Xenopus tropicalis: one gene and its partners. The protein of the gene in region 3 interacts with the protein of the main gene of each other region in a biochemical or structural test. Links are inferred from orthologs where the notes say so. Each region holds a gene or a part of one and is shown on either strand. Other genes may lie near its edges. The genes, in order: cul2, cul1 and cdc34.

What was found.
Region 1: the proteins of cdc34 (region 3) and cul2 form a complex in vitro, tested with the Homo sapiens proteins (2 studies listed by BioGRID). The link is inferred for Xenopus tropicalis from reciprocal best matches to the Homo sapiens genes CDC34 and CUL2.
Region 2: the proteins of cdc34 (region 3) and cul1 form a complex in vitro, tested with the Homo sapiens proteins (3 studies listed by BioGRID). The link is inferred for Xenopus tropicalis from reciprocal best matches to the Homo sapiens genes CDC34 and CUL1.

The regions. Positions count from the first base shown.
Region 1 is NC_030682.2:21,665,161-21,668,816, reverse strand, and holds part of cul2 (cullin-2), read right to left. Parts: intron 3,260-3,656; coding exon 3,149-3,259; intron 2,135-3,148; coding exon 1,972-2,134; intron 1,200-1,971; coding exon 1,075-1,199; intron 225-1,074; coding exon 117-224; intron 1-116.
Region 2 is NC_030682.2:55,181,761-55,185,416, forward strand, and holds part of cul1 (cullin-1), read right to left. Parts: intron 1,760-3,656; coding exon 1,628-1,759; intron 1,404-1,627; coding exon 1,311-1,403; intron 811-1,310; coding exon 763-810; intron 1-762. UniProt on the Homo sapiens protein: Core component of multiple cullin-RING-based SCF (SKP1-CUL1-F-box protein) E3 ubiquitin-protein ligase complexes, which mediate the ubiquitination of proteins involved in cell cycle progression, signal transduction and transcription.
Region 3 is NC_030677.2:105,629,892-105,633,647, forward strand, and holds the start of cdc34 (ubiquitin-conjugating enzyme E2 R1), read left to right. Parts: upstream 1-961; 5' UTR 962-1,118; coding exon 1,119-1,301; intron 1,302-3,694; coding exon 3,695-3,756. UniProt on the Homo sapiens protein: E2 ubiquitin-conjugating enzyme that accepts ubiquitin from an E1 ubiquitin-activating protein, and catalyzes its covalent attachment to other proteins by an E3 ubiquitin-protein ligase complex. In vitro catalyzes 'Lys-48'-linked polyubiquitination.

The DNA of each region.
Region 1 (3,656 bases), on a different chromosome or scaffold from region 3:
TTTAAACAGTAGGGGGTGGGGGTCTGAAATGTAAAAATGTTAAGCCCCATTATATTTCTGTATTTGTTTGTGCAAGGTGGTATAGGGTCATGATCAGGACCTATTGATTACTGTACCTTGTCTAGTGCACTCATAAAGTGCTGATCACCATTCAATACAGAGTTGACAAGCTGAACAAATTTACTGTGAACTTCTAAGACTGACTCCACAAATTGAGTTGGCATCTGAAAGATAAAAAGGGAACATTTATAAAAAAACACAAAGAGAACTACAAGAAAAAAAAAACTTAAAACATTTAAATGAATTATAAAAATACAAAAATTCATGAATGGCAACTACAAATGATCTGAGATTAGCACTGGCTAGTGTTCCCTGTACTTAGTGACATACTGACCCAAGGCCATTTGAAAAAGAGGGAACATTCATTGTGCACAGTTTGGAGCAATCACATTCTAATGGGAAATAGTCTTAATAATATACCATGTAATAAATAAAACCCAGCTGGCATGTAAAAGATTAAATAAAACTTCCCCATAATTCATTTCATTTCATGTTTCATCGGTATGAATTAGCCATTTTCTTTAAGTTTCTTTGTCAGGAAGCATGTGGCACTCTGTGGTGCTGGCCTTTTGTGTACTTGGGCATTTTCATTCTTATTGCTACTTAAAGATAAAGTACATAAACAGATATATTCCTTTAAAATCCAAACCCTTTTTTTTTTATTTGGACTATGGTATAATATGGCCAGATTAACTCTTTGTTTCGCATTAGTTTTTAAAATGATAATTTGGGGAATTTGGCCACATGTTCATATCTTTCAACTGTCTGATCCAATGATGAGTGTGGCAGATTTAAAGATGTCAGGCAGGGAAGTAATTTCCTCGTTTCCTTCCTTTTCCCTCTTTCAGGGAGCTCTGCATCTATGGTCTATGGCACACAGGGCGTTATGCCTGCCTGTACAAGTAGCAGCAAACAATTGGTGCAGGCTATAGCCCGTGGCTCTGCTCCTTCATATTTTATCCCTACTGCTCATTTAGTATTTATGCGGCTATCAAGGGCTTCATGGTTACTCACGTTTTCCTGAGAAAGATTACTAATAGCTCTAAGGCCTTCATCGTGGATATGGTTTTGGAGTTCCTGAATCATATGAGGTAAACCATTGGATACAGCACGGAGAAGAGTGTACATGTTGGCCATATCTGCAATGCCACAGAAAATAATGTGACACAAAGTGATAACTGTAACAATCACGAGTTAACATTTAAACAGTTTTTTAAACTAATTTTACTCTGTGGCATTGTTACACTAAAATACTAAAATATTTATAATCCCCTTAAATTAAAGCCCACTTTTCAACATTCAATATAGAGCACAATATATCTTGCCATTCAAGGAGGCTGCAGGACACAAGGAGTAAAGTAAATACAATAAGGTAAGTTTGAAAGAATTACAGGAAATTTTAAAATTTCCCGTTAGGACTAGGGCACCCCAGCTGTTTGATACAGGGACCTAAAAATTAAATAGCGTTAAATGGCACAGATTTAAATAGCGGATAAAAGATGAGCCCTGTAGAACACCATTATATTCTACAGAACTTATCTGCTATGTAATCTGAGCCTTTTGTTTCCTTTGAATAGCCTCCCTCATTGCTACAGAGATTATTTATAAAAAAAACTATATTAGTGTTTCTAAAGCAAAAATACCAGTGCAAGGCAAAAGTTAATTATAATCACTTTAAAACACAATTTTTTTGGAGTTACTGTTCTTTAAAAGAGAAGTATTAGCTTATCAACACTACCCCTGCTGAATAAAAGACTTTCCATTTCTGACCTAAGCTTAGCAACATCATAATAAGCCACTTTGATAATACAGTTCTCAACCAAAGCATATATTATGATGATGGCTAAAAGGCTGAGAAACTGAAAATGGTTTCACCTAAAACAAAAGAAAAAATAACTGCTCAGTGCTTACCGCTTCTCCTTTCTTGTCTGATGATATTGTGACATTCTGCGTGTAGAAACTGCAAGTGGTCTGCCACCATTCTCTGCTGGCATTCATGAATCACTTTATTATATGAACTGGGGTGTAAATACTTTCGACATCGAATCTCTTCATCTTTTAATCTACCTAAAATCTGCACGTAAATAATAAATAATAATGTGCAAGAAATCTTTAAAAACGTATTAAAAACAAGGTACGTGATTGCTTTAAAATTCATGTTTGGGTTCTGCAACTTAATCTGAGTCTCCTTAGAAAAAGCTGTTATAATGGGACAATGACACCTGTAAACTGATATCGCTCTTGTACTTGCTGCCCCTGGGATCAAGACCAACCCCTATAGTTTTCCCACTCCACTTAATAGAAGTTTAAATATTCCATAATTTCCCCTTTACACACAAAAAAAAAGGCTGCCCAATGTACTTAAAGGACCAGTACAGGTATGGGATGCATTACAAATTAGTACAAATTACGGAAAAAGCCATCTCCTATAGATTCCATCTTAATTAAATAATTCAAAATTTTAAAACTGAATTCCTTTTTCTCTGTACTTGATCCCAACTAAGATATAATTAATCTTTATTGGGGGCAAAACAATCCTATTGAATTTATTTAATGTTTAAACTAATTTTTAGCAGACTTAAAATATAGAGGTCCAAATCATATAAAGATATCCCAAGTTCTGAGCATTCTGGATAACAGGTCCTATACCTGTAACAGCAAAATATAAAAGGGCCATTTAGCCCTATTTCAACTTGAATGGATGCCCACATGGCTACACAGCTTTATTATATTATAAGCTATAGTAGTGCTTCTAAGACAAGCATACAACTTTTGCCAGTGCATGTAAACAGTATATTATTTTTTTAATTTTGCCCCACTCCATTAAATTATAACAACAAAACAGCAATTAACTTTTACATTCATACTGTGGCTTGAATAATAATAAACATCTGGTTGGCTGCTATGGTTTTCTGAGCAAAAGAATACTCTGACCAAATATTACATTGGTTTTAACTCCCATTACTGTTATGGTTTTGTTCCAGAGTTGTAAGGTAAACCTTACTAATTCCTATAAATTGTACAGAAAGCATAATATACATTTTAATAAATCCACAATAAAAATACATAGGCTGTTACTTTTCTTTACCTTTTCCATATATTGTGAGCAGTTTGACTCTTGTAATAAATTTGAAGCTTCTTGTTTATAATACTCCCCTGTTTCAGCCAGAAAAGGCAACTCAAATATTTCTTGATAAAACTGTAATAAAGCACAGTATGTTGATAACGCAAGAATGTTTTCAATAGGCGGTGTAAGCAGCGTCTTTATGGCCACAATTGCACACATCTACACAGGCAAGAGCAAAATGTAGCTGCCCCATTAGGCACACAGAAAATATCATTCACTTATACAAGCACAAGCAACATTGCATCATTGTGGAGGCACCAGATATAGTTCCACTTACACACATACAGCCACACAGTTACACAGGCAATACCAAAGCTTCACTTTCACCCAGTCACATGCACAACCACTGCATGATTCATCCGCCCACAATAAAAGCACTGTGTGGTATCATTGTGGTATTGTTTAAAAGATCCTATATGTATTGTCAGACCAATCTTAAAACTACAATTGCCAATTCCCCATCTGTTTA
Region 2 (3,656 bases), on a different chromosome or scaffold from region 3:
TGTTCCTCCTGCAGGTTTGATTGGCCAAAAGGGAAAGTGTACAGACCTATCGTGTACATACACCTATTCAACTTCACTCTTACCATACATTGGCTTTCAAGGCAAGTACCACTTACTACTTTATTTCTCTGTGAGGTAATTTCCAAGTAATTGCTAATTATTATGATTACTCTGATCTAATGAAGAAATACAGCAGATGCACTTAACACAGGCAATGTATAGTAACATATGAGTTAAGCTGTAAGTAACATCTTAAGCATATGTTTATGTCAACGTCGTGTAATTCACGAGATTCTTCTTGTCTTTCAGAGGGCAATGTATAATAATGACACCCAAAATGTAAACATAAATAACCCTGACCATGCTTACATTGGCTATTATGTGGCAACCATCATTACCTAGGGATGACTTGCATTAGAAGGGGAAGCCCTCAACACCAGTAAGGCTTATACCATGCAAGGTGCTGTCAAAATGCCAATCCCATGATTCCTGTCACTGCTTAATGGCCATGGGGTGGGTTAGAGTAGATTGGCATTTTTTTAGTCTGTTGACAAAACACCATGTGACATTAGCCTAAAAGTATATTTTAACGCCTGAAAGCTTACAGTCCCAGGGATCTTTAACTATGTGATAATGATCGCTATGAACACAATTTTTTTTAAAATCTTTTAAAGGGACCCGATTCCAAAATTTCTTCTGAGCTACAGAACTGTATTCAGCCTATTGCTGTTTTAGGCGAACACCAGAAACTGTGAAACTTACCAATAACTTAGACTTCAGCAAAATTTGAAGAACTTGCACAAGTATATCCTGCAAAAAGGAATAAAGGAAATGCAGCAGTGTGATAAGATTAATTTAGAATTAGGAAACACATGAAAACATTTGTAGTCTAATTAGACTTTGTGAACCAAGAGCTTCCATTCTTCTAGCAAGTACATTAGGTGTTTAGGATTACGGCTCATCTTAGTCCAATATGAATTCTGGAGATAAAAGGTTGTCATTACAATGACAGGCGGGACAGGCAGTTCCAGTGCCTCTGCTAAAAATGTGACATTAACCTTTAATCTGACAAGAGTCTGACAATGCTAGAAATGAAGTCATCTACACCCAGAGCTCCAAGACTGGTAAGTGGGAAAGGAGAAGTGTGTTCTGATCAGCACTACTAGTAGCCATCAAAATTGTCCCACATAGGCCTAACCCTAGCTGCCAAAATAGTTATTATTACAGTTATCTCTGTGACAATCTATAATGGCTTTTAACAAACAAGCATAATTTTTATAAGATAGAGGCCTTAAACTGTATACGGTTACCATTTTTATCTGTGTGCTATCTGTCAGTTGCTGCACTGTGTAGGCATCTTCTGTGTTATACTGCAGCAGGATTGCCATCTGGAATGTGGATGCCTGAAAAAGGAATCGGGAAAAAAGACCACAGTATACATCATACATCAAAAGCAAGGCAGTACTAAACAGTACCAAATCATTAGTAATTTTCCATTAGTTCCAACTGCAATGTTACCATGCTGTCTCTCAGTTCTGCACTGCAAACCTCTACTTCACAGTCAACATGTGATGTGCACAATTTGTTTTAGGTATTTAAGCAATACACTTCTTTGCTTGCAACATACCTGCAACGTGTATCTATTTTTAAAGCAGTTTGTGACCAGTTCTCCTTTAGACAACTGGTATAACCAAGTCAACTTCCTTCCACTGTGGCGGCTGGCATAAAAAGCTGTAAACCTTTGATAGCTGCGTTCCAACTGTAAAGGAAGAGAATTAAAACATTTTATTTGTGTTCTGCATATGATAAGTGGGTTGAACTGTCACATTCATAAGAGCACCCACCTATAGTGATTAACTGTATTAATAAACTATAAAGCCAAAGGCTTTTGTTCTCCGTTTCGAATCGTGCTCATGGGAAAGGAAGAATCCTACTACAAGGATAATGGTCCTACCTCCAAAGTGCCAGTTCACTCACACAAGTCCTAATTGGCCCTTACAAACCATCAATTAGTTTGCACCTCCTATGACAGCCCACACAGGACTTCTTGGGTCAGGCTATGCATCCGATTTACAGGTCTTGGAAATGCTCTTCTAAACCTTTAAAGTTGCTTAAGGTGTTAACCTATTTTTACAGGCTTTTACATGAATTTTTTGGTCCACTGAAAACTGTAAAATTTGGGTTGTACTATTCCCATATAATGTAGCCTATTGGAACTCCTATTGCACTTTTCAACCAACAGATGGTGCAAAACACTTAGAAAACCCCACTTAATAAAGAGTAAAATAAGTTACAAGTTACAGTTTGCAACCAATAGGTGGCACAATCATACTAGAATGGCACATTTAATTAAGCATTAAATGCACCAATTAATTACAAATATATCAGTCCACTATAAATCTATATAAAGCTAAAATCAATTTGTGGGTGAAATAAAGAGATTTTCTAACCTGAAAAATCTTTTTCTCGTAGGCCCTACCTGGCAGTGCAAGACATTGGGTTAAGTTATTTCTCTCTGGAGGCAGGACAAACTGATGTCTTTTTTTTTTTTTTTTTGAAAGGTGCATTTTATTAATTTTCATACAAACATAAAATAACACATTTTATAGTGCAATGAGGAAAACGTATTGGACTTTCTTTTCCAGGTCTATCTCTAACATTTGTTACAAACATCAACGGGATAGGTTTAACATTACAGAGTGTGAATGCGAGTCTGGCAACAGTTCCAACATATTGGGTCCGTCACGTTACCGAGTTAGATGTTCAGGGTATGGCAGAAAAAGGTGGGAAGGCGTTGGGGGACTTACTATGCAGCTAGGAGCGGGATCGATCAATTTCCCTCTAGGTCACACCAAGGGCCCCAAATTTTGTCAAATTTATCAGGTGCGTCTCTCGTCTCGTATGTGAGTTTATACAGAGGGGCTACCGCATTCACTAGATTCTTCCAGGCTGTAACGGTCGGCAGGGTAGAGCCCATCCGATCCATTGCGACTGTTTTTTTTGCATAGAACAGGAGAATTCTGTAGCATATCCGGGAGTTATTTTGAGCAATTATACTGTCTAGGACTCCTAGTAAGCTAGTAAGTTTCGGGAGCAGTCACAGTAGGGAAGGCTAAGTTATTCGATAAGTATTTAGTGACTGCTGACCAGAACGTAGCGATATGGGGACATGCCCAGATCATATGAAAAAGTTAGCAGGGCTGGCTGCACATCTCGGGCACTTATCTGTTGGGGTACGGCCCATCTGGTGCAACCTTAATGGTGTGATATACAGGTGATGAAAGGTTTTATACTGTATCAATCTGTCTCTAGTAGAGATGAGACAGTTACACATGGAGTCTGTTGCCTCCTCCCAATCATCTTGGGTGAGTGTTGGTATTTGGGAAGTCCACCATATTTGTGCCGAGTTAAAGGGTTTGGGGCCTTGATAAGTCTTTCTTGAAACCCTTTCTTCTTCGTGTCTCCCCCTCTTACCCCGCAAAGCCTGCTGGGGGAGACAGAAGAACCGAACTATCAATGTGACGAGCAGCAATAACTAGCACCCCAAAAAGGGAGGAATGGTGCACTGACAGTACGGCCTACAAGAAAAGATGTTTCAGGGTAAAAAAAACCAAATCTCCTTTTCTCAGTCGGTCAATGCAGGACAACTGGGGAAG
Region 3 (3,756 bases):
CTACTTATGCTACTGTTTACAACACCGTACATGGAGTAGGAAGCAACTAGTCTTTAACTAGTAGTAGTGAAGTGGCATTTTACAAAGTGTAGCACCGGCCTGATGGAAAGTGTTGGGGGCACCCAATAAATTGCCACCCACTGAATCTAAGTTTCCCTGTCCTTTAAAGTGCACCTATGACCCTTTAACTGCTTCTCCCACCAGAGGTGCAGGCTAATAGACGCAGCACTTTGGTTGAGGGAAAACGATAGTTTGGTTTTTAAAAAATACAGCAACTGCCATTTCTAGGCTGCCCGCACCTGAATGAAGCTCCCAGTACAGGCAACCATGTTGTTTGCCATGCGTGGGCATAATAAATGCGCCTTTCCACTTGCAGATGATGCGCATGCGCCTGATCTAGGCGTGGTGGATGCAATTCACCCTCCATCACAAGCATGCACATAATAAGCAACTTGTGGCACTCACTCATTATGCACATTGTGAGAAATGAGGCAATATGGCTGCCCACACCTGGAGCACTCTTCTGCTGCAGGCAGCCTAGCAATGGTAGGAGCTTTTTTTTTTTTCACAAAAAGCTATTGTTTCCCTAACCTCTGATGAGGGAAACAATTTGAGGGTGATAGGTGCCCTTTAAGGTGAGCTGTATTAGAAGGTTATATTCTAGGAGATTAAAGGATATATTCACTGTTCATTCAGAAACTTTGTGTCAAGTTGAAGTTTTCTACTGCACTACTAAATAAAAGCTCTGTAAATCACGTTTCCCCACTAGAAACCAACATCTAGCTTTGTTCCCATCAGCCTCAGCAAGACCCCTCCTTCCTCCGCTCAGATTACACTTCCCTCGCACCAGTGCGTCACAGTGTTCGTGGGCTTGTGGGATTTGTAGGCTGCTCCTCCCACAACGCCGTGGCTTCACTTGCAGTTTCCGGCACCCGTTACTCTTCCAGCCAGCAAGTTAATTCGCAAAGCGGCTCCGTTGTGCCGTAACATGTCGTAATAAAGCCTTTAGTCGTCTAGCAGCCCCTTCTTGCTAAAACACCAAAAGCCTACTGATCCCATCCTGCCCTACGCGGAGGACGCTGTGGGCTCCTGGTTAGAAAGCGGGGAGCGGAACTACCATGGCCCGGCCGGTGGCGCCGGTGCCCAGCTCTCAGAAGGCCTTGATGCTGGAACTCAAGGGGCTACAGGAAGAGCCGGTGGAGGGGTTCCGGGTCACCCTGGTAGATGAGGGGGATCTGTACAACTGGGAGGTGGCAATCTTTGGCCCCCCAAACACCCTCTATGAGGGGGGGTACTTCAAGGTGAGGGTTAGGTGTGTGTGAAATGGTGGAGTTCGTGATCATAGGGGCCTTGGGGAGGGAAAGCCACGCTGGGGGGTATTTAAAGAGGCAGTAAGTAATAGAGGCGTGGGTGGGTATTGCGTACATCGCTGGGCCTTTCTGCACAACAAGCTTTCCTTTGTTTATGTGACTCCTACAGCCATAGCCGTAACTTGCCCGAAACTAATGTTTCACATGAAACTCAACCAGCCCTCAAAGCTACCCCAAAACTAAAACTTACTGAAAGAGTGTGGCACTACTAAATCTTTAATCCTGTTTTCTGCGAGTTGTAGTCCAACAACAGCTGCTAGGCCCCAGCCACAGGATGCACGGTGTTAGAAAGCAATAAAGGCCTTTGTGTAACAGGAAAACGCTCTAAACTCTTCATCTAACTTCTGATTTGGCACTTTGTGTTTGTGGAGATACCCTGGGTTTATATGTATTCATCCTGTGCCTATTTCATAAAGATTTTCAGAAGATTAATCAAACATAGGCGTTCCACTCTTTTACATTTTAGTATGCCATACTAGCTACATGTATGAAGCCTCATTCTTTTAAGGATTAAAGGGGTCTCTATACTTAGTTTTGGGCAGTTTTGTTAAGATGTGCCTTCTATAGTGTGTGTGTATATATATATATATATATATATATATATATATATATATATATATATAATATTAGTTTCAAGGGACTACTTATTCCTAGACATTTGCACAGATCAAGAAATTTAATAGGGGTTTATAATGAGATGTTAAATGGCTAGAACAATGTAATTGTGTTTTACAGGGGTGGTTCACCTTTAAGTTAACTTTTAGTATCTTATATAAAGACCTATTCTAATCAACTTTTCGAATATTCTTCATTATTTGTTTTTCATAGTTTCTTAATTTATTTGCCTCCTTGTCCTAACTCTTTGCAGCTTTCAAATGGGGTCACTGACCCCTGAGCCAAAAAAAAATCATACTAAAAAGTTAAGTCAAAGGTGCACAACCCCTTTAAAGGGGTTGTCCACCTTTTACTTAATTTTTAGTATGATGTAGAGCGTAATATTCTGAAACAATTTGCAACTGGTTTTCATTTTTTATTTGTAGTTTTTTTTAATTATTTCAGTTTTTGGTTGTCTCCAGCTTGGAGTTTCAGCAGCTATTTGGTTGCTTGGATCCAAATTACCTAAGCCACCATGGTGTGATTTGAATAAAAGACTGATATATAAATACGAGAGGGCCTGAATAGAAACATAAGTAATGTACAATAACAGTTAAACTATAGCTTCGCAGAACAATAGTTCTTTGGCTTGGGGGTCAGTGACCCCCCTTTGAAAGCTGCAAAGAGTAAATAATTCAAAAACTATGAAAAACATAATGACTAATTGAAAAGTTGCTTAGAATTGGCCTTTCTATAACATACTAAAAGTTAACTCAAAGGTGAACCACCACTTTCAATATATGTATAATATACATATTATTAGGGATACACTGAATCCAGGATTTGTTTCGGCGTTTGGCCAAGATTCTGCCTTTTTCAACAGGATTCGGATTCAGACGAATCCATGTGCCTGGTTGAACCAAATCTGAATCCTTAAAATCACTATTTCTTTATGTAAACCCAGAAGTTGAACATTTTTATTCCTTTTATAGGTTAGTTTTCAAATGCAAATTAGAGTTTGGTTCGGTATTAGGCCAAATCTTTTACAAAGGTTTGAATCATAAAACTCTGGAATTGGTGCATCTCATTATCCAGCCTCCCTGGAACTGAAAACAGACCTTATTTTTTATTTACTTATCATTAATCTGATGACAGCTGAGCTTGCTTACCCATCATGCAGTTCTATAAGTATGAGATCTATTATTCTGAAAGCTTTTGGACATAATTCAAATCTTTTATTGGGGCCTCTTGCATGATAGCCACATTCAGAGTGCCAATGCACCCTCATTCAATAGGATTTTCAAACTTGCCGTATTGAAAATTGATCAGCTATTGGTCAGACGGGCCCTATACACGAGCCAATAAGCTGTTAATTTGGCCTGGAGGCACTGACCTAGCAGCTTTTATTGGCCCGTTTATGGCCTGCTGAAGCATTTAAAAATAAAAACCAAGATGATCTTTTAGCCAGAAACATGGATTTATGTTAGCTTAGTTATCATAAAGCACAAGATACTGTTTTATTGTTACTACAGAAAGAGAGCAAACAAGTAAAAAATTAATAAATTACACTTTTTTTTTTAATAGACTGAAATTTGGTTGATCTACTCTTAGATATGTTGCTTGAGAACCATTATTTTGTGCTAATCGGAGCTACGGTGTGTTATAACAAAGGCATGGATCTCAACCATACTCACTTGCTTGTTAACCATTACATGTTCTTTTTGTCCTAGGCCCGCTTAAAATTTCCAGTTGATTACCCCTACTCTCCTCCTGCGTTTCGTTTTTTGACAAA